3 linked regions of the Neurospora crassa OR74A genome follow. The protein of the gene in region 1 interacts with the protein of each later gene in a pairwise test. Links are inferred from orthologs where the notes say so. Each region holds a gene or a part of one and is shown in the gene's direction. Other genes may lie near its edges.

Evidence for each region.
Region 2: the proteins of NCU00301 (region 1) and NCU03824 interact in binary tests that used the Saccharomyces cerevisiae proteins (3 or more experiments, as listed by UniProt). The link is inferred for Neurospora crassa OR74A from reciprocal best matches to the Saccharomyces cerevisiae genes SAS10 and RRP36.
Region 3: the proteins of NCU00301 (region 1) and NCU01008 interact in binary tests that used the Saccharomyces cerevisiae proteins (3 or more experiments, as listed by UniProt). The link is inferred for Neurospora crassa OR74A from reciprocal best matches to the Saccharomyces cerevisiae genes SAS10 and IMP3.

Annotation. Positions count from the first base shown.
Region 1 is NC_026503.1:3,361,703-3,367,982, reverse strand, and holds NCU00301 (Sas10/Utp3 family protein), read left to right. Parts: upstream 1-2,527; 5' UTR 2,528-2,676; coding exon 2,677-4,071; intron 4,072-4,129; coding exon 4,130-4,618; 3' UTR 4,619-4,822; downstream 4,823-6,280. Other genes in the region: NCU00302 (3-ketodihydrosphingosine reductase tsc-10), read right to left, coding at 840-1,772, 1,843-1,998; gpr-5 (PQ loop repeat protein), read left to right, coding at 6,108-6,166, 6,229-6,280. UniProt on the Saccharomyces cerevisiae protein: Primarily required at the G2/M phase. Essential for viability: involved in nucleolar processing of pre-18S ribosomal RNA as part of the ribosomal small subunit (SSU) processome.
Region 2 is NC_026505.1:2,530,157-2,535,597, reverse strand, and holds NCU03824 (hypothetical protein), read left to right. Parts: upstream 1-2,583; 5' UTR 2,584-2,758; coding exon 2,759-2,977; intron 2,978-3,122; coding exon 3,123-3,902; 3' UTR 3,903-4,180; downstream 4,181-5,441. Other genes in the region: NCU03825 (hypothetical protein), read right to left, coding at 299-2,224; stk-25 (ABC1 protein), read right to left, coding at 4,242-5,441.
Region 3 is NC_026505.1:2,663,178-2,668,398, forward strand, and holds NCU01008 (U3 small nucleolar ribonucleoprotein IMP3), read left to right. Parts: upstream 1-2,584; 5' UTR 2,585-2,783; coding exon 2,784-2,884; intron 2,885-2,943; coding exon 2,944-2,974; intron 2,975-3,052; coding exon 3,053-3,076; intron 3,077-3,143; coding exon 3,144-3,254; intron 3,255-3,309; coding exon 3,310-3,594; 3' UTR 3,595-3,960; downstream 3,961-5,221. Other genes in the region: complex I intermediate-associated protein CIA84, read left to right, coding at 1-210, 291-459; NCU01007 (mito ribosomal protein S18), read right to left, coding at 1,085-1,342, 1,505-1,917, 2,014-2,113; NCU01009 (hypothetical protein), read left to right, coding at 4,488-4,764, 4,818-5,221. UniProt on the Saccharomyces cerevisiae protein: Required for the early cleavages at sites A0, A1 and A2 during 18S ribosomal pre-RNA processing.

The DNA of each region.
Region 1 (6,280 bases):
ACAGACGCCCACCTGCTATGTCAGGGCGCACAAGCCACAAAACACTGACAACGAAGAAAATGGTCCAATCCTGAAATGTTATCCGTGCCTTCTGCCCCTCCCGCCGCGATCCTCGTAGATGGTCAACGGAAGTGCCATCAAAAAAAGTGGAGTAAATCGCCCGGTGTAGGAAATATCAATGTTTCCCCCAAAGTCTAGAAATGGAGCGTATTAGAGAGTCCAGATGGGGTGGGAATGATGACTATAGTATTGATATGATGCATGTCTGTTCACGGTGCTGGCCCGATAATCGTAGAAACGGGACGTGGGGAATGGATGGAGTTCCGAGCTAATGTAGTTCACCGACTGATACCTATCCACATGTATACTGGCGAAGGTCAAAAGCTCTGAACCGAAGCTCACACATTCCATCGATACAATCCGTAAGTCTAGTATACAGTAAGAGCAGGTTCTGCCAGAAGATTCATACAGTCTGCAACAGGGGCATACCATGGGTTTAGCAGGTAGTCATCTTTCTGTCTCCGCACTCACCAAGTGGTGCTCCAAACATCTTGACGTCGGAATATACACTTATTGCTGGACAACACAAGCAGGGTATAAAGTCGTTGTCACCCAACTAAGCATGGATTGCTCATTCTTGGTGTCAAAACGCATCCGGATCGCGGTGAAGACGTAGTGCTTTGACTTCAAGGTGAGTGTCTCACAAAGGAGACGGGGGACTTGTCCAGGTTGTCTTGAGGCTGATATCGGTCTATTACAACAACAAAGTTATTACAGTATTTTTATGTTCATAGATATCATATACACATCCATACAAAAGAACAGATCCAACCATCGCATCACTTCTTCTTGGGATGCGTAAAAGGATGCCCCTTTTCCCTCGCCCACTTCACAATCGTTGAGTTCATCCCCCTCAACACGAAGAAGTAGATGATCGGTATGAGCCACCCCATCAACGTGTCCAGCACCCAGTTGTTCCTCGGCGACCCGCCCATGATCCCGCACTGCATCAGCCTTCCCAGGAATGACACATCGACAAAATACTTGCCAGCCTCCAGCCCGGCAATCGCCCTCCTTGCTACCGTATCCGGGCTTTCCGCTGGCTCGTCCTTTTCCAGCTCCACCGTGATGTCCGGCTTCGTCTGATTTTCCCTCTCGTAGCCCGGTGATACAATCGTGCCGGGATACACAATGTGCACCTTGACCGGGTTATCTGGGTAGTAATTGACCTCCATCGCCAGGGTATCCGCCAGTCCTCTCAGCGCCCATTTGGTTGGGGTGTACGGGCCATAGCCCAAAATCGCAAAAAGCGCCAACATTGACGCGGTAAATACCAAGTGCTTCGGCTCTCCGTTGGGTCCCGTGCTGTTTTCGGGTGCCAGCCACTCCCTCAAAATCGCCCGCGACATCTCCGCCGACCCAAAGTAGTTGACGTCCATGTTGCGGCGTGCGGCCGCCATGCTGCCATCGTCGGTCCACAGCAGAGGCGTCGACATGCCGGCCACGCACCAGACGATGTCCGGGGAGCGCCCGCCATTCCAGGCGATAGCTTCGGCGAGGACCGCGGCGGCGTAGTCGTGCTCGGAAACGTCGGCTGAGATGTAAGTGAAGCGTTGTGTGGACGGGTTCTTGGCGGCGGCGCGGACGTCGACGAGGGCTTCTTCAAGGCGCCCGACGTTGCGCGAGACGAGGATGACATTGGCGCCCTTTTGCGAAAGTTGGATGGCCGCTGAGCGGCCCATGCCTTCGGAGGCGCCGGTTAGGAGGACGGTCTGGTAACAGGGGTTGAGTTAGTGTTGTTTGGAGGTCGGGTCAGGTCGGGTGAGGCTTCGGGGCGCATACCCGGCCCTCGACTGGCATGTGGTTTTTGGAGCTGAAGAGACCCATTGTAGCAAATATGCCAATGGCCGCGACGACGGCTGCAACTGGGAGAGACCAGGAGGTGCTGAGGGTTTTCAATTGTTCCATCAGCGACTCTGAGAAGAGATAATGGTTCATCCTTCCTTGGATCGTGAAAGAAGATCGGGCTCGAGGAAAGTGGAATTGTTGACGCGGCGGCGCCTAAGCTATTCTGTATACGTCTAGAGTACGAACGAGTACCTCTACGGCGTAAATTTAGTGGATGCTGTCAGCAGTTCCCGTCGTACTGGAGCTTACACCCCTGTCTGTAAGTGACTTGTTGATGGGTGATGATTCGACCGATTTCTTCGCACTCCGTAGGAAAATGAGGTTTCTGGAACCATTTGCTGGAGTTTGCGTTTTCGAGTCTTCAGAAGCGGTTTTCTCTACTGTCATAACTGAACCCATTGAGGTCATGTCAACGTAAATCTGGCAGGCCTGGGGGGCATCTTGGAGCTTCCCGTCGACCCTGAGGACGGGATGGAAGCTTTGACCATTTCAGATGTAACTGTGGAGCATCTTCAATTGTGGGGTTAGGCAGCCTGCATGAGAGTGGAGCTGGGCGGTCGAGGTTCCGCTGAGAATGGATCGCAAATTGACAAGAGCAAAAAAATTCTGCCGCTTCAACATTTGTTGCCCGCCTAGCGAACGAACCCACCAGCCCATTCAACGAGCATCTCCAAGTGCCTTTTGGCAGCGTCTTCACGTCAACGTTTCTCAGTCGCGCCAAACTCCATCCAACACGCCTGAATAGATAACCGCGACACAAACGCAAAAATGGCGAAGAAGAGAAAAGCCCCGAGACCGACCGGTCCCGCCGAGCCTCGCGAGGTCGATGCCAAGGACGCCCGCCTTACCGTTAAGACTTACAAAGATGTCGCCAACTCCGAAGACGAATACTGGGAGAACCAGGATCGCATCGACTTTGACGACAGCGATGATGGCAGACAATCCAAGCGCAGGCGCCAAGACAAGGAGGAGGAGTTCCTAGAGGCTTCTGACGAGGAGGTTTTCGAGGAGGACGAATCCGATGAGGAGAGCGAACACGAAGACGCCGCGCCCGCGAAGGGCAAGAAGGTCAAGACAACAGTACTTTCCGACGAAGAGATGGGTGGTGAAGAGGAGGAAGAAGGTGACGAAGGATGGTGGGGTTCCTCCAGAAAGGACTACTACAATGCCGACCAGATCGAGACCGAGGCCGATGCCTTGGAGGAAGAGGCTGAGGCAAAGAGGCTCCAGGCCAAGAAGTTGGCCAAAATGTCCGAGGCCGATTTCGCGTTTGACGAGAGCGAATGGCTAGGAACCAAGGAGGAGGCCGAGGGAGAGGAGGATGTCATTACCGAGAAACTCAACGAGATCGAAGTCACAGAGGACATGGGGCCGGAAGAAAGATACAAGCTTCTACAGAGCCGATATCCCGAGTTTGACTACCTGGCGCAGGAGTTTAGGGAGCTGCAGCCGATTCTCACAACTCTTCAAAAAGAGGCCGAGGGCAAGCCTGCCAAGTCTCTGGAGATGGTCAAGTTCTGGACTCTTGGGTGTTACATCGCTTCACTCGCCAGTTATTTCGCTATCCTGACTTCGCCAGCAAGAGACAGCCAAGGTGTGTCCAAGACGATCAGCCCTACGGAACTCAGGGACCACGAGGTTATGGGCACGTTAATGAGCTGTCGCGAGGCCTGGCTTAAGGTCAAGGAACTCAAGCCGCTCAAGAGCGTCTCCTCGACCAGCGGCATGCTTTCGCCACCCGAAGATGAGGGCGAGTATGATGACCTGTCTGACGACGATATGGAGGACTTCAAGAAGATGCTCAAGAAGAGCAAGCGCGAATCCAAGGCTGAGCTCAAGGCCAAGGCGAAGAAGGAGGCCGAGAAGGCCAAGAAGGCCAGGGCTGTCGAGCAGTCTCTTGCCGATCTCTCCAGTTTGCTTGAAACCACCAAGACGGCAACCAAGGCCAGCAAGAAGTCTGTCAAGGTCGACAAGCGCGATGACGATGAGCGCTCCGACTTTGGTGACGAGGAGATCCTTGAAGCTCACGTGGCCAAGGAGAAGGCTGCTCGCAAGAAGAGTCTCAAATTCTACACCTCCCAGATTGTGTCCAAGTCCGCCAAGCGTGCGGATGCGGGTCGCAACGCCGGTGGTGATGACGATCTTCCCTACCGTGAGAGATTTGTAAGTCGGCCATTGCCTAAAAAACATGCCGTGTTGTCATATACTGACTTTTGCGCAGAGAGACAGGCAAGCACGGCTCAACGCCGAGGCCGAGAAGCGCGGCAAGAAAGACAGCAAGCACGGCGCCGTGCTGGGCGAGGGCGACAGCGACGACGAGGACAAGGCCGTTGCCAAGCAGGTGCGCGGAGAGGAGGACGAGTACTACGACATGGTGGCGCACAACGCGGCCAAGAAGAAGGAGGACAAGGCGGCCAAGTACGAGGCTTTGGCGGCTGCCAAGGGCGCCCGGGTCGTGGAGGAGACGACGATCGGCCCCGACGGCAAGCGCCAAATCAACTACCAGATCCAGAAGAACAAGGGCCTCACGCCGCATCGCAAGAAGGAGAACCGCAACCCGCGTGTCAAGAAGAGGATGAAGTACGCGGAGAAGCAGAAGAAGCTCAAGAGCGTCAAGGCCGTGTACAAGGGCGGCGAGGGCAAGGGCGGGTACCAGGGAGAACTGTCGGGTATCAAGACCGGCTTGGTCAAGAGTATCAAGCTTTCTTGATAGGGCTCTGGTTGTCGTGGTTGTTGGACTGGTTTGTAGTACTCTGGGTATATCATGCATGTATAGATTTTTGGGTTGTTGATAATCATGGCCTCAACGGAAATGGAAAAAAGCAGGCTTGCACACACAATGGCATTGTATTTCTTGAACACACTTGATACCTCTTCAAGATCTACAATATCTACAATGTCCAGTATTCTCAACACCGGAGGTCGCCGGTACTCGCACCCTGTTCAATCGTGTTAGTACAGGTTCATGGTAAACCCCGGGTCTGAGAATAGGGCTATATAAGAATCCCTCTCATTTTTTTTCTTTTTCTTTTCCATCCCAATTTTTAGTTCCTCTTCGTTTCTGTGCCCTTCCCTGGCATTTCTTGTGTGCCAGATTCCGAAAGAGCGAAGGCGATGTTGACTTGGAAAGGATACAAGGCCTGCGAGGGAGCCAATAGGAGCTCTGAGACGAATCAATGCAAATGCCCAAATCTCAACTTTGGATAAATGTAACACCACCACATGATAAATTATTAGATTGGGCAGTTTCTGAACAAACACAACATCCTAAACCGAACACTTCAATTTCGTTATCTTCAGTACAGGTATCTTCAACACGGATCGTTCAAGAAGTAGAGGTAATTTTTGGGATGAAACACTGGAATGTTAGAGCAATGATTAGGACATGCCACATTATTTTTTTCCAGTCCACCATGACTTCTTAAACCCACCAGGCAAAAGGAAGAGTTCCAAACCAACAGTCTGTTTTCGGTCTATCCAGAAACCCAGGTTTCCCTCGAAGGGTTCTCATGCTGTTGTTGGATGTTGTTGTACTAGGGTTTCACCTAGCGGTTGACGTACCCCACAAGATCCACCTACAGCCCGGGACGCTTGAGCCGCCTGAGACGTGCATGCTTTTAAGGGCTCTTTTGCCGCCGCCGAGGATGCATTACACGTATCTTGCAGCCAGGCGGGTCAACCTTGGGTCTTGGGGGAACCGGTTTGCGGATGAAGAGGCAAAGGATTTAAAACTAGTCATGCGACCATCAGACTTTTCACCATGTATGACTCGAATCGGATTGTAATCAGGTCGACTCTTTCCTTTGTTCAGCCTTTTTTGTTGACTTTGCATTTTGCATCGTTATCTTGAGCCTCACTTCAGTGTGTACTCTGTAACTCTTTGACCGACCGCTCATGAATCCTCAGGGCGGCTCTCAATTGAAGTGACGTATCTCCTGTCTACCAAACCCACAAAACAAGGACACAACAACAAAGAGCGAGGTGAACTGGGCATCCAAGTTCCAACGAATCTTGGGGGCAAACAACTCAATCGATAAGGCGGGAGAGTAAAGCGCATCAACAAAAACGCTTTCATTCAACCATCGCATCCTTCCTCACGCTTAAACCCACAAGTATTCTCAACCTGTACCTATCAAGAGACGGTTGCACAAAACAGTGAGACAGCATTACACGCGGTCCTACGGACAACAGCAGCCACCATGGCGCCCCCGACCGAACTCCTCAACCTCGACGTCGAGGCCATATCGGGGATCCTCGGGTAGGTCTCATTCCACTCCCAATTAACTTCACCTTCTCCATCTTACTAAACCCTCTCAACAGCTCCGTATCAATAGCATGCTGGGTCGTCGTCTTCTCCCCGCAAATCATCGAA
Region 2 (5,441 bases), on another chromosome or scaffold:
TGCCCCTTTTTCTCATGAGCTCATGTGTATCGCTCGCTGATGGATAGTCGTCGCCGATGAATGAGTCTTTAGTAGATGCTAGTAACCTGTCGAAATCTCCGATAAAAGTTGTTTTCATGGCCAATTGCTATTCCATTCCCGTAAATGCATAATAAAGTGTGGTGAACCATGCATGTTCCATGAAAGTTATCCTCATTTCGAAGTCGTATTCGCTGTAACCAGTCTAGTCTACCGGGTATGATCATGTCCAACCGAGAACTCCCATCTCATTATTTCCTATGCTCTATCCTGAACATTCCTATTGAGCCGCAGCTGGAGTAGAAGCGAGAGCAACACCCTCGTGTCCGGTTACGGCCCCGCTGCTATCCTCGCTGATGTTGAATGGCTTCACCCTGATATAAGTGCTGATATCCGCCTGGTGGGCTAGAATGTTAAGATATTCACGCACCATCGGCAGCACCTCCGGCTTCTCGTTCAAATCCCCCACAAATTCCGGCAGCGTAATGCAGTTATACGGCTCGCTCCTCGCCTTCTCCGCACTGTCGTCAATCAGCACCGTATTGCCCTGATTCCACGGCTCTCCCTCCGGGTTTGACGCCGCCACCGTCGGGTCCTCCCACAGCATCGTCAACCGCTTGTAGCACTGCACCCGCGTGTTAAAGTCCGCCTGCGTCAGCCCGAACTTGTCCCGTGCCCAGATCGCCACCACTTTGCCCAGCTGCTCCTCCGTCAACAGCTGCTGGCACATCATCTCCACGTTCTGCGGCCGGGCGCTGGACCAAATCACCACCTTGAACGTGTCGATGCAGTATTTCAAAAAGTCCCTGGCAAAGGGCCGCTCGACGAATTTGGAGGGCCGCTTGCGGCTGGGCCGGTGCAAGAGCGTGCCGTTCAGGTCGATCACCACCAGAATCGGACGCGGCTGGGGGACCTCTCGAGCGAGGAAGGAGGCCCGGATCTTGTAGGCGTGGCTGGGCTCGGGGATGCCGCCGGAGGCGCGCGAGGGAGGCACGATGGGGTCCCTGCCTTCTCGCGGGGTGCCTCCTCCTTGCGGCGGGATGAAAGAGGATGATGCGGGCATCATCATGGTGGTGGTGGTTCGTTGGGCTTGGGCTTGGGCTAAGGCTTCGCGGGCTGCTGCTTCGCGGGCTTTGGCCTTCTTGTTGAGCTTGGGCGGATGAGAGGGCCTGGAGGTGGGCGGTATTTGCTGTTGCTGGCTATGGTGGTTGTTGATGTTATTGTTGTTGTTATTGTTGTACTGTCCTCGTCTTCCTCCTCGTGAGTAAGGTCCAGGACTCCTGGGGCGATAAAAGTCTGGGTGTGTGTTGTTGGTGTAGGTGTTGTTGTTGTTGCTATTGCTGTATTGTCTTACTCGTGAGTAGGGTCCGGGACTCCTGGAGCGATAGCAACCAGCGGGCTGAGGGACCTGAGGCCTGTTGTTGTTGTTGTTGTTGTTGTTGTTGGTGTTGGTATGGTAACTTCGTGTTCCTGCTCCCGAGTAGAACGGCGGCAGAGGTTGTTGCCAATGCGGTATGGTCGTTCCTGGGGCGAAGGTGTTGAGATGAGTAGGAGGGATGAAGCCATAGCCCATATTTGGGGGCGGCGCATATCCCATGCCATATTGCTCTTGCCGAGGATAGTGCTGTTGGTTTTGGTATTGGTATTGTTGTTGTTGTTGCTGCTGCTGAACAAACTCCCCCTGCCATATTGGCGGGTAACCCGGCTGGTAGCCGAAGTGATTGTGATCCATTTGGTCCACTGTTTGCTGTATTTGTGCCTTAAGACCGTCTTGAGGCTGTTGTTGTTGTCGTTGTAGTTTGTCCTGCTGCTGACCCAGCCTTTGACACCTTCTTTGCTCCTGCGTTTCGTTTCCGTTTTTGCTGCCCCTTTGACCCTTTCCAGCGGAAGCCACTCTGCCCTGTTCTCCAGCCGCCTGGTGAGACGGTTCTGAGGGGCCTGGTAATGTCTCGTTTGATTGTGCGGTTCCCTTCTTAGCCAGGTGTTGTACGCCAAACACAGAGCACAGTTTATCCGCCTCAAAACTGTCTTCAGCCGTATGAATGCACCTCGTCGAAGGTTGGTTGGCCAAGAACGGTTTGTATGTGTTGAAATATTTATTGCGAGGCAAGTAAGGCAATAATGGTGTAGTTGGCAATAGTTGCCAGTCCTTTGTGAGACGAAAGCGACCTGGTGTGTTGAATATTCGTAATCTGTTCATCATCATCCTTGAGATAAAAAGACGAGGCCGGTGCAAAAAGGTGCCGCTACGGACCACTTGGCTCCAAGGTGCTTGAAGTCGGCCCGGCTCGCATTCAGCTGTAGGCCACAGCTGTTGAGGAAGATGTGCGGTAATAAATATCCAATAAGCCGTGTTCCTGGACCTCCAAACAACTCAGTGAATGAGATGTCACACTTTTATCAAGAAGTGATGTTGTACGCCTGTTTGCGGCCTCTGTGCTTTTCAGGGGACGGGCAAAATATCGGTTAGGAATCTAGCCAATCATACATTGAGAAAACCCGTCAAAGCGGGGCAATGTTGCTTCACTCGCAGGCGGCAGAACTTTCAACGCCAATTCGACAACCAACTACATACACATATCCATGTGACTTCACTCATACCTTTTCTTCACCCGCTGCTGTTTGTTCCCTCGTAAAAGGGTAACCATCTCAAATCAAACGCACAACAAAGTTGTCACTGCCACCAGAGACAGGATAGAACTTATAAAGGACGAAATTGTGGACCCGAAAAGAGTAAGAAATGCCTGCGGTCAAGCGAAAAGCTGCCCCTACGCTGGGTGCTAAGCTCCAGAGACGTGTTCGTCCGAGATTTGAAGCCGAGCCCGACTCGGATGTGGAGGGGAGCTCAGATGAGGCCCCTAGTGAGGAAGAAGGCGGCGGCTTTCACACAGGCAGCGACACCGAGGAGGAGGAGGAGGATGAAGAGATTGAGGAGGGCAGTGAACCAGGCAGTGACGATGTAAGGGTTTTTGTTTTTTTTCTGTTTTCTTCAAATGGGCACAAAAAAACAATACTATCATTTTTTTTTTTAAAAAAAAAAAAAAAAAAAAAAAAAAAAAAAAAAAAAAAAAAAAAAAAAAACTACGACTAATGCTCAATAACAGGACTCCGACGCACCCTCAGAGCACGGCGGCGCCGGCATCGACGCCTCGCAGCTCTCATTCGGTGCTCTCGCCCGAGCCCAAGCCTCTCTCGGCGCACTGAAGAAAAAGAAGAAGAAGAAGGGCGGCGATGAGGACGGCTCCGATGACGATGAAGAGAAAGAAGAGCCCAACTGGAAGACCGAGATCGAAAAGGGCATGAAGGCCAAGGTCGAGAAGCACCACCGCACCAACAAGCACGCGCCCGTCGAGACGACCTCCAAAAAACCCGTTTCTCGGCGTCGCGACTTTCTCGCCAACGAGCCCGCCAAGCCCAAATCCCGGGACCCACGGTTCGCGCCCCCCGGCATCGGCGGCAGCTCCGGTAAAAGCGTAGTAGATGAGATCAAGGCGCGCAAAGCCTACTCGTTCCTGGACGACTACCAGGAGGACGAGATGAAGCAGCTGCGGATGGCCATCAAGAAGACGAAAGATGCCAACGAAAAGGAGGAGCTGCAGCGGGCGCTCCTGTCGATGGAGAGCAAGAAGAAGGCGCGCGCCCGCAAGGATAAGGAGCGCGAGCTGTTGTCGGAGCACAAGAAGAAGGAGAAGGAGCTCATCAAGCAGGGCAAGACGCCCTTCTACTTGAAGAAGTCAGAGCAGAAGAAGCAGTTGCTTGTGGAGCAGTTCGCGAGCATGAAGAAGAGCCAGGTCGATAAGGCGATTGAGCGCAAGAGGAAGAAGATTGCAGGCAAGGAGAAGAAGGCGTTGCCGTTGGCGAGACGGACGGCTGAGGATAGGTAAACGAAGGGGAAGAGTGGATTATTGCTTGCTTGAAACACTGGGGGTATACTATAAATGGCTGCATGGGAGACATACCTAGGTATCAAGGACTGATAGATGAAGCAGGCGCGCAAAAGGTTGGAATGGTAATATTCACAAATATTGTTACAAATCACCCCACAAGTGCTGGCTATGCTTTTTGAGGTGATCTTACTCGGTAGATTCCCTATAACAGAGAACATTCGGCCGAGATGTACAGGAAAGAAGAAAGAATCACTTGCAGAAACTCTGGTCTAACCCTCCAAATCTATCCCTACCAGCCCGACTTCCAGCCACAGTAGTATCATACATACACCTCACTCACTTCTTCCCGAAATACTCCGTCTTCTCCAAAGCCTTCTCAAACATCTCCCTACACCTGACCCTACTCCCCAGCCTCGCGCACAACAAAAACGCCCCACTGAGCTTCCTGTGCAAGCTATACGTCTCTTCCGGCGGCGGTGCCAGCCTCTCATGGATCATGACGGGGATCTGCGCTTTGACCCTCTCCGTAATCGTCTGATCTCTGAAATCATACACTTCCGGCGCACTCTGCAGGAACGGCTCAGCCAGTGTAACGACACTAGTGATATGCGCCTCCAGCATCGCTCTACTCTCATGACCCGTCAGATACCCCAGCTCTTCAGAGAGGGACTTGACCGCGGGGCGATCACCCCGCGACGCGGCTTCGAGCAGGCGGATATACAGCGAGATGAACTCCTCCGGGTATTCTCGGCTAGCGCCAAAGTCGAGCAGCTCCAGCCGTTGTTTTTCGGGGTTGTACAAGAAGTTGGTCCAGTTGGGATCCGTCTGCATGAACTTGAACTCGGTGATCTCGCGCAGACAGAGGCGCAAGATCTGGGTGCCGATCCAGTCCTTTTGTTCCTGCGAGAAGTCCTTGACGCGCGTGACGCCCACGCCATCCATCCACTCCATGGTAAGGACTTGCTTGCCTGAGGCTTCCGCGTAGATGTGCGGGACGGCGAAGACGGCGTCTTCTTGCCCATCCGCGGCAAGGAGTTCCCTGTAACGGGCGCCGCACTCGGCTTCCCTCAAGTAATCACATTCCCACGCCAGCTCGGTGCGCGCATTGTCGATGGTCTTGTTCAGATACAGGCCTTTGGGGAGAAGCTTGGTGGCGGCCAGCAGGATGGCGAGGTTGTCGAGGTCCGAGTTAATGGAGTCAGCAACGCCGGGGAATTGGATCTTGACGGCGACGCGGGCGCCATTGGACTTGAGCGTGGCGCGGTGGACTTGGCCAATGGAGGCGGCCGCGATGGGTTTCTCTTCGAACTCGTCGAACAGGGAGCGCCAGTCGGCGCCCAGGTTGGAGACCAAAACCCGGTCGCGCTGCCAGGCCGGCATGTAGTCGGCTCGATCCTGGACGCGCTGGAAGACCTCTTGGATTGTCGGTGGAAGCATCTTGGAGTCTTGGATCGACATCATCTGCCCCAGCTTGAGGGCCGCGCCACGCATCCGAGAAAGACGGGAGACCAGCCGCTCGACGTTGCCCGGGCTGAG
Region 3 (5,221 bases), on another chromosome or scaffold:
TTGCGAGCTGATCCCGCTAGGCGATCGGTATGCTAGGCCGGTGTGGCAGAAGATGTTGCGAATGGATCTGGAGGTGCCGCAGTACGTTTTCAATGCGTATTGCGCGGCTATCGCAAGAAGTAACGCGGCGTGGGGGAGAAAGATGGACGAGGTGTTTAAGCTGATCAAGGGGACTGACGCGAGCTTGGGGTATGGGGCTAGTATGATGACGTGAGTCTCCCATTTTTGTTTTTGTTGGAAAACTCCTGCAAGACGCTGTCGAAAATGCTGACAATAACTGAATCAAACAGGCTTGGACTAACCTATAACGCCCTTCCCGACCCGGTGTCCAAGGACGAGTTCGCGGCCTGGGCAAAGGAGGAGTACCCGGAGGAGTGGGCGAGATTGGAGAGTAAGGGGCAGAAAGAAACCGAATTTCAGGGACCTGTGTTCAACATTACCAGGCTGTTTGAGGCTTGACCTCAAACGGAGGTTCATATTACATACGATATCGACAGTAAGTAGAAAGAAAGGAAAAACAGGACTTGTACAGAGAATTTTATATTTTGAGTTAGAGAGAGGGAGGGGTACATCGTTGTATGATTGTTAGGTGGCTTTTTGCGCTTCTGAGCGGGTGGGCAGGAGGATGGTTCATCTTTGGGTTGTACATTACATTTAGCACCTTTAGACAAAAACTAGAAGGTGGATATTGGAACCGGTTTTGGTCTAGGTTTAGTCTTTTTGTTCGTTTCTCCGTCAGGGTCTCTGTAGATTATGCAGTAGCACAGACGAAGTGAGTGATCGTTCACACCATCTTTCATGCCCACTATCCGCATTCCTCCACAATCACCCTTTGATGACCGCCATCATCCAAGCCCAAACTTTGCAAAATACCATTTTGTGTGCCGTGTATACAGTAATAATACACCAACTCTACGATAACCGTAATAGAGTCCGCCGATCAACCATCCATTCAGCCCATACCGTGCTACTAGCCATGCTTGCTAGCCAGACGGCGACCTCACGCCCGTAACCGCCCAGTCATGCAAATTTCCCCCATAAATTCCCCCTTCATTCCGCCCAAGTCCAGACCTTCCAGACCATTCTAGTTCTCATCCTCTCCATCAAAGTTCTTGGTCTTGTTCGCCTTCTGGCCCTTGGGCACAACAAGCGGCAACAAGTGCCTGCCGTTGCTGTTCTTGAGGATCTCGGGGTGCTTGTGCACAGAGGGGTGAATACCGAGGCCGATGGCGCGCCGCACCATCTTGGCGATCTTGCGCTGGTTGACGGGTTTCAGGCCGGTTTCCTTGGAGTGCCTTATCCGCCCAAAGGGGGTGATGTAGTCGGAGATGAGGGAGAAGTTCTGTTGTCCCCAAGGAAATTAGCATTTCGCCTGAGGCCAGTTTTCGAGACAATGGAATTGGGAAGGGAAGAGGGGTGTGTGAAGGAGGAGGAACAAGAGAAAGGGAGAGGGGAGGGAGTGACAAGAAGAAAAAAGAAAAAAAAAAGAAAAAAGAAAACATACACGATAGTTATCCAACGGACTAAACCCAAGCTCATCCACCACATCCGCCGCCTCCACCCATCCCCCGTTCCTGCCCTTCATCTCGTACGGTGACAGGTCGCGCGGCGCGTACACGTCGCCGTTGTTCCACCGGCGCCTCATCATGCGCATGTAGTTGTTGGAGGTCACCTCGGACTGGAGCAGCTCCTGCACCTTCTGGCTGTTGCTGCCATAGCGCTGTCCTCCGTCGACGTCGCGTGCGTTGTTGTAGCTGTCTCTTCCTCCCCGGCTGCCGGCGCCGCTGTTTAGCAGGTTGAACATGTCCGACTTGTACTGGCTCGAGCCGGCGTTGTTGTTGTTGTTGCTCGACGGCGACGAGGTGTTGGTGTTGGTGCGCGGGGCATTTTGGAAGGAAGTGGTGGGGATGTCGCGGACTGTTTGGTGATTGAAGGTGTTGTTAGCTTATGTGTTATGCTTATAGAGTTGTGGAGGGCGGCATATCGGGTTTGCGATCGACGGAGCGAACATACTGGCAGCGGCCGGTGAGGTGGTCGAGAACTGGGCGGTCCTCTGGCCGGCAGCGCGGCACTGCCTGAGCGCAGAGGAGAGGAATTGACGAGAGGACGACATGGTGGTGGTGGTGGTGGTGGTCGTCGTCGTTGTTGTAATGGTTACAACAGCTTGTAACAGCTGGGCTTTGGCGATGTGCAAGTCCTCTCGGGGAAACCACACACACACACACAGACAAGAATGGAGCTCCCGTTTCGCGATCGGTCGGAGTCGGGAATCGGGGATCGGGGGTTCAGTCGCGACGGGGAGATGCGGCGGCGGCGGGCACGGTCGGTGCGGGCAATTGGAAATTGGAGCTCCGGGCCGGCAGCGACACTTTTTGGCGGATCAATCTCTTTTCGGCGCAGTGGCGGGGCCTGCCGCGGACCGGGGCGCTGTTGCGGGCTTGCGGCTGGCAGCTGGCAGGGCGGGAGCTGATTGCTGGAAAGCCTGAAGCGTCCCGGTTTATTTTATGGGGTAAAATGGAGCTCGCTGCGGGCTAAGAGTGCGCTAAGCAAGGGGCCCGGCAGGCGAGAAAGTGTGGGGCAAGAGTTTTCATTGCAGCAAAAGTTCAACGCCAGAACACCACCACCACTGCAGCTGCTGCTACTATCAGATTACGATACTGAACCATCCATCGCCTCCACACCCGTCTGATTGATACCGCATCTTTGATACCTTTCACAACGACACACTTCTCGACCCAACTAGAACAGCACACCATCAGTGACACAGACAACGAATTGCCAACATGGTCCGCAAGCTCAAGCACGCGGAACAGAAGCTTCTTCGGAAGACCGACTTCATCAACTACAAGTCGGACAACAAGCACAGAGATCACGATGTCGCCAGGTACGCTCATTCGCCTTAAGTGGTTTTTGTGTGAGAACATCTTGCTAACAGTCACACAGACGGTACATGATTCAGAAGCCCGAGGACTATGTATGTTAATCCAAGCAAGGATGAGATGAGGCTCACAGTGACTTTTCATAATGACCATGACAACTGACCCCCTTCTAGCACAAGTACAACAGGATGTGCGGTGTAAGTTTCATCAACTAACCTTACCTATATGAAACTGTTCATGACATACTGACATGATATGCCACAGTCCCTCCGCCAACTCGCCCATCGTCTCAGTTTGCTTCCTCCAGACAACGAGGTGAGGCGAAAGCACGAGGAGCTTTTGCTCGACAAGCTTTACGACATGGGAATTCTGTCGGTATGTCTTCCGGTATCGAAGTTCAACTCGAGCAGTTATTAACGTCCAATCACAGTCCAAGTCGAAGCTGTCGCAGGTGGAGCACCAGGTCACAGTCTCGGCCTTTGCCAGGAGGCGACTGCCCGTCGTCATGACCAGACTTCGTATGGCCGAGACCGTGCAAGCAGCGACCAAGATGATTGAGCAGGGCCATGTCCGTGTGGGTGTCGAAGAGGTCCGTGATCCTGCTTTCCTGGTGACGAGGAGTATGGAGGACTTCGTCACTTGGTCTGTCGGCAGCAAGATCAAGCAGAACATTATGAAGTACCGCGACAAGTTGGACGATTTCGAGCTTCTTTGAGTGGCGGAAGAGCATGGCTGCGGGCATATCAGGAAGTGGTAATGGTACGTTGGGAGCTAAGGCTGGAAAATGGATCACTGGGAAAGGACATACTACTGCGTTGTTTGCAAGTTGGCATTGGGAGGAGTGCTCATATGCGAGCAATATTCTGTGGCGTTTTAGGGTAAAGGCATTCAAAATATGTGAAAGGGATTTTAAGATACCACCATTCGGGTTTACAGGTCAATCACTCGGAGTTGCGGAAGTGTACCAGCTGCGGGCTCCCCACTCGAACTTGCAGTGTCTCACTGTGACCAAAGCCTGGTGAGTCTTCCTTCCGAACCACTACCGACTAATAGCCGACAATATCACTGGCATACTTCTGGGTTTTAGGGGTGCTCCTGCGTTCTTTCTGTTCCGTTCCTCGAAACTGGCAGCACACGAAATAAAACATCCGACGAGCCTCGCTCCTTCCGTAAAGTAGCTCATTTACAATGGCTCACTCTTTCATGAAAATCGTCCCTTTGGCCTGCTCCTCTTCTTGGCATTTCCTCTTTTTTCTCTGCATCTTCCGCTCCCACTCCCTAGCGAGACCTGACCTAACAAATGTCTCCGTATTCCTAACACCGCATCATTCAGTTCTTCACTTCATCCTTTATCCTCGGCTTTATCTCTATCCTATATGGTCCTGGTACTCCTGGTTGTCTTCTCTGCTGTTACCAAGGTCTCCTTATACTTCTCGTACCTCCTTACCTTGATCCTCATCTTGTCATTGAATCAAGGTTGGATTTCTTTCGACACCCTGAGACACCGGGCTCCATATCAGATCAGCATCGCTCTGTGGGAGTTCGTCCCCCGGAAGAGCCCTCCCGACACCAAACCGCCAGTCTCATCCTCTATGTTCTACAACCGCCATGCCTACTTTCCAGAAGAACCGCGTTCGAGATGCGAACCCATACTCTGGGTCCATCGATCCGCCACCATACCAGCGCGCCCTCTCTTCGGAGTTGTCTCTCCCTAGTTTCAGGGGTAACAATACCTATCAGGAAGCACTGAGCAACATCTTGCATTCTCGGTACTCTTCGACGGATCGTAACTCGATTCCCAAGTATGAACATCTTGATTCGGTTCCAAGTCCGAATATAACCATCAAGTCAGGCAACATGAGGTTTATGATTCCTCCTCGGAAACGTACGTCTACAAGTCATCTTTGTCCCAAAGCCCGCTAACTGTTCACCAAGCAGATCCTTTCACTCCCACGGACACTACGCCTACGAGCTCTAGAGTACCGCGCAACGCAAGCTCCCGAGTCACATTCGATTCTTCATCCCATGATCTCGATTCACCACTAGAATCAGGGCGTGATTACTTCTGTGGCGCAACGTATGAGGAAGAACCGTCCGGCCCTTCTTACAATCTCTACCCCCTCAAAGAATGGATAGAGACGAGCGGAAACCAGGACCCCTCAAGCAGTGACTTTGTCCACCATACATTGCCCGATAGTCAAGTTTCTCAGGAACTGTCAGTTACTTCGAAAGGCCGCCACCAGCATGGCCACAGCTTAGAACCAAAAGTTCGAACGGTTGCGGAGCTCGCGAAGTCTAGCGCATTCGGTTTCACCGGGCAGAAGGGGATACTGAAAGCTGTT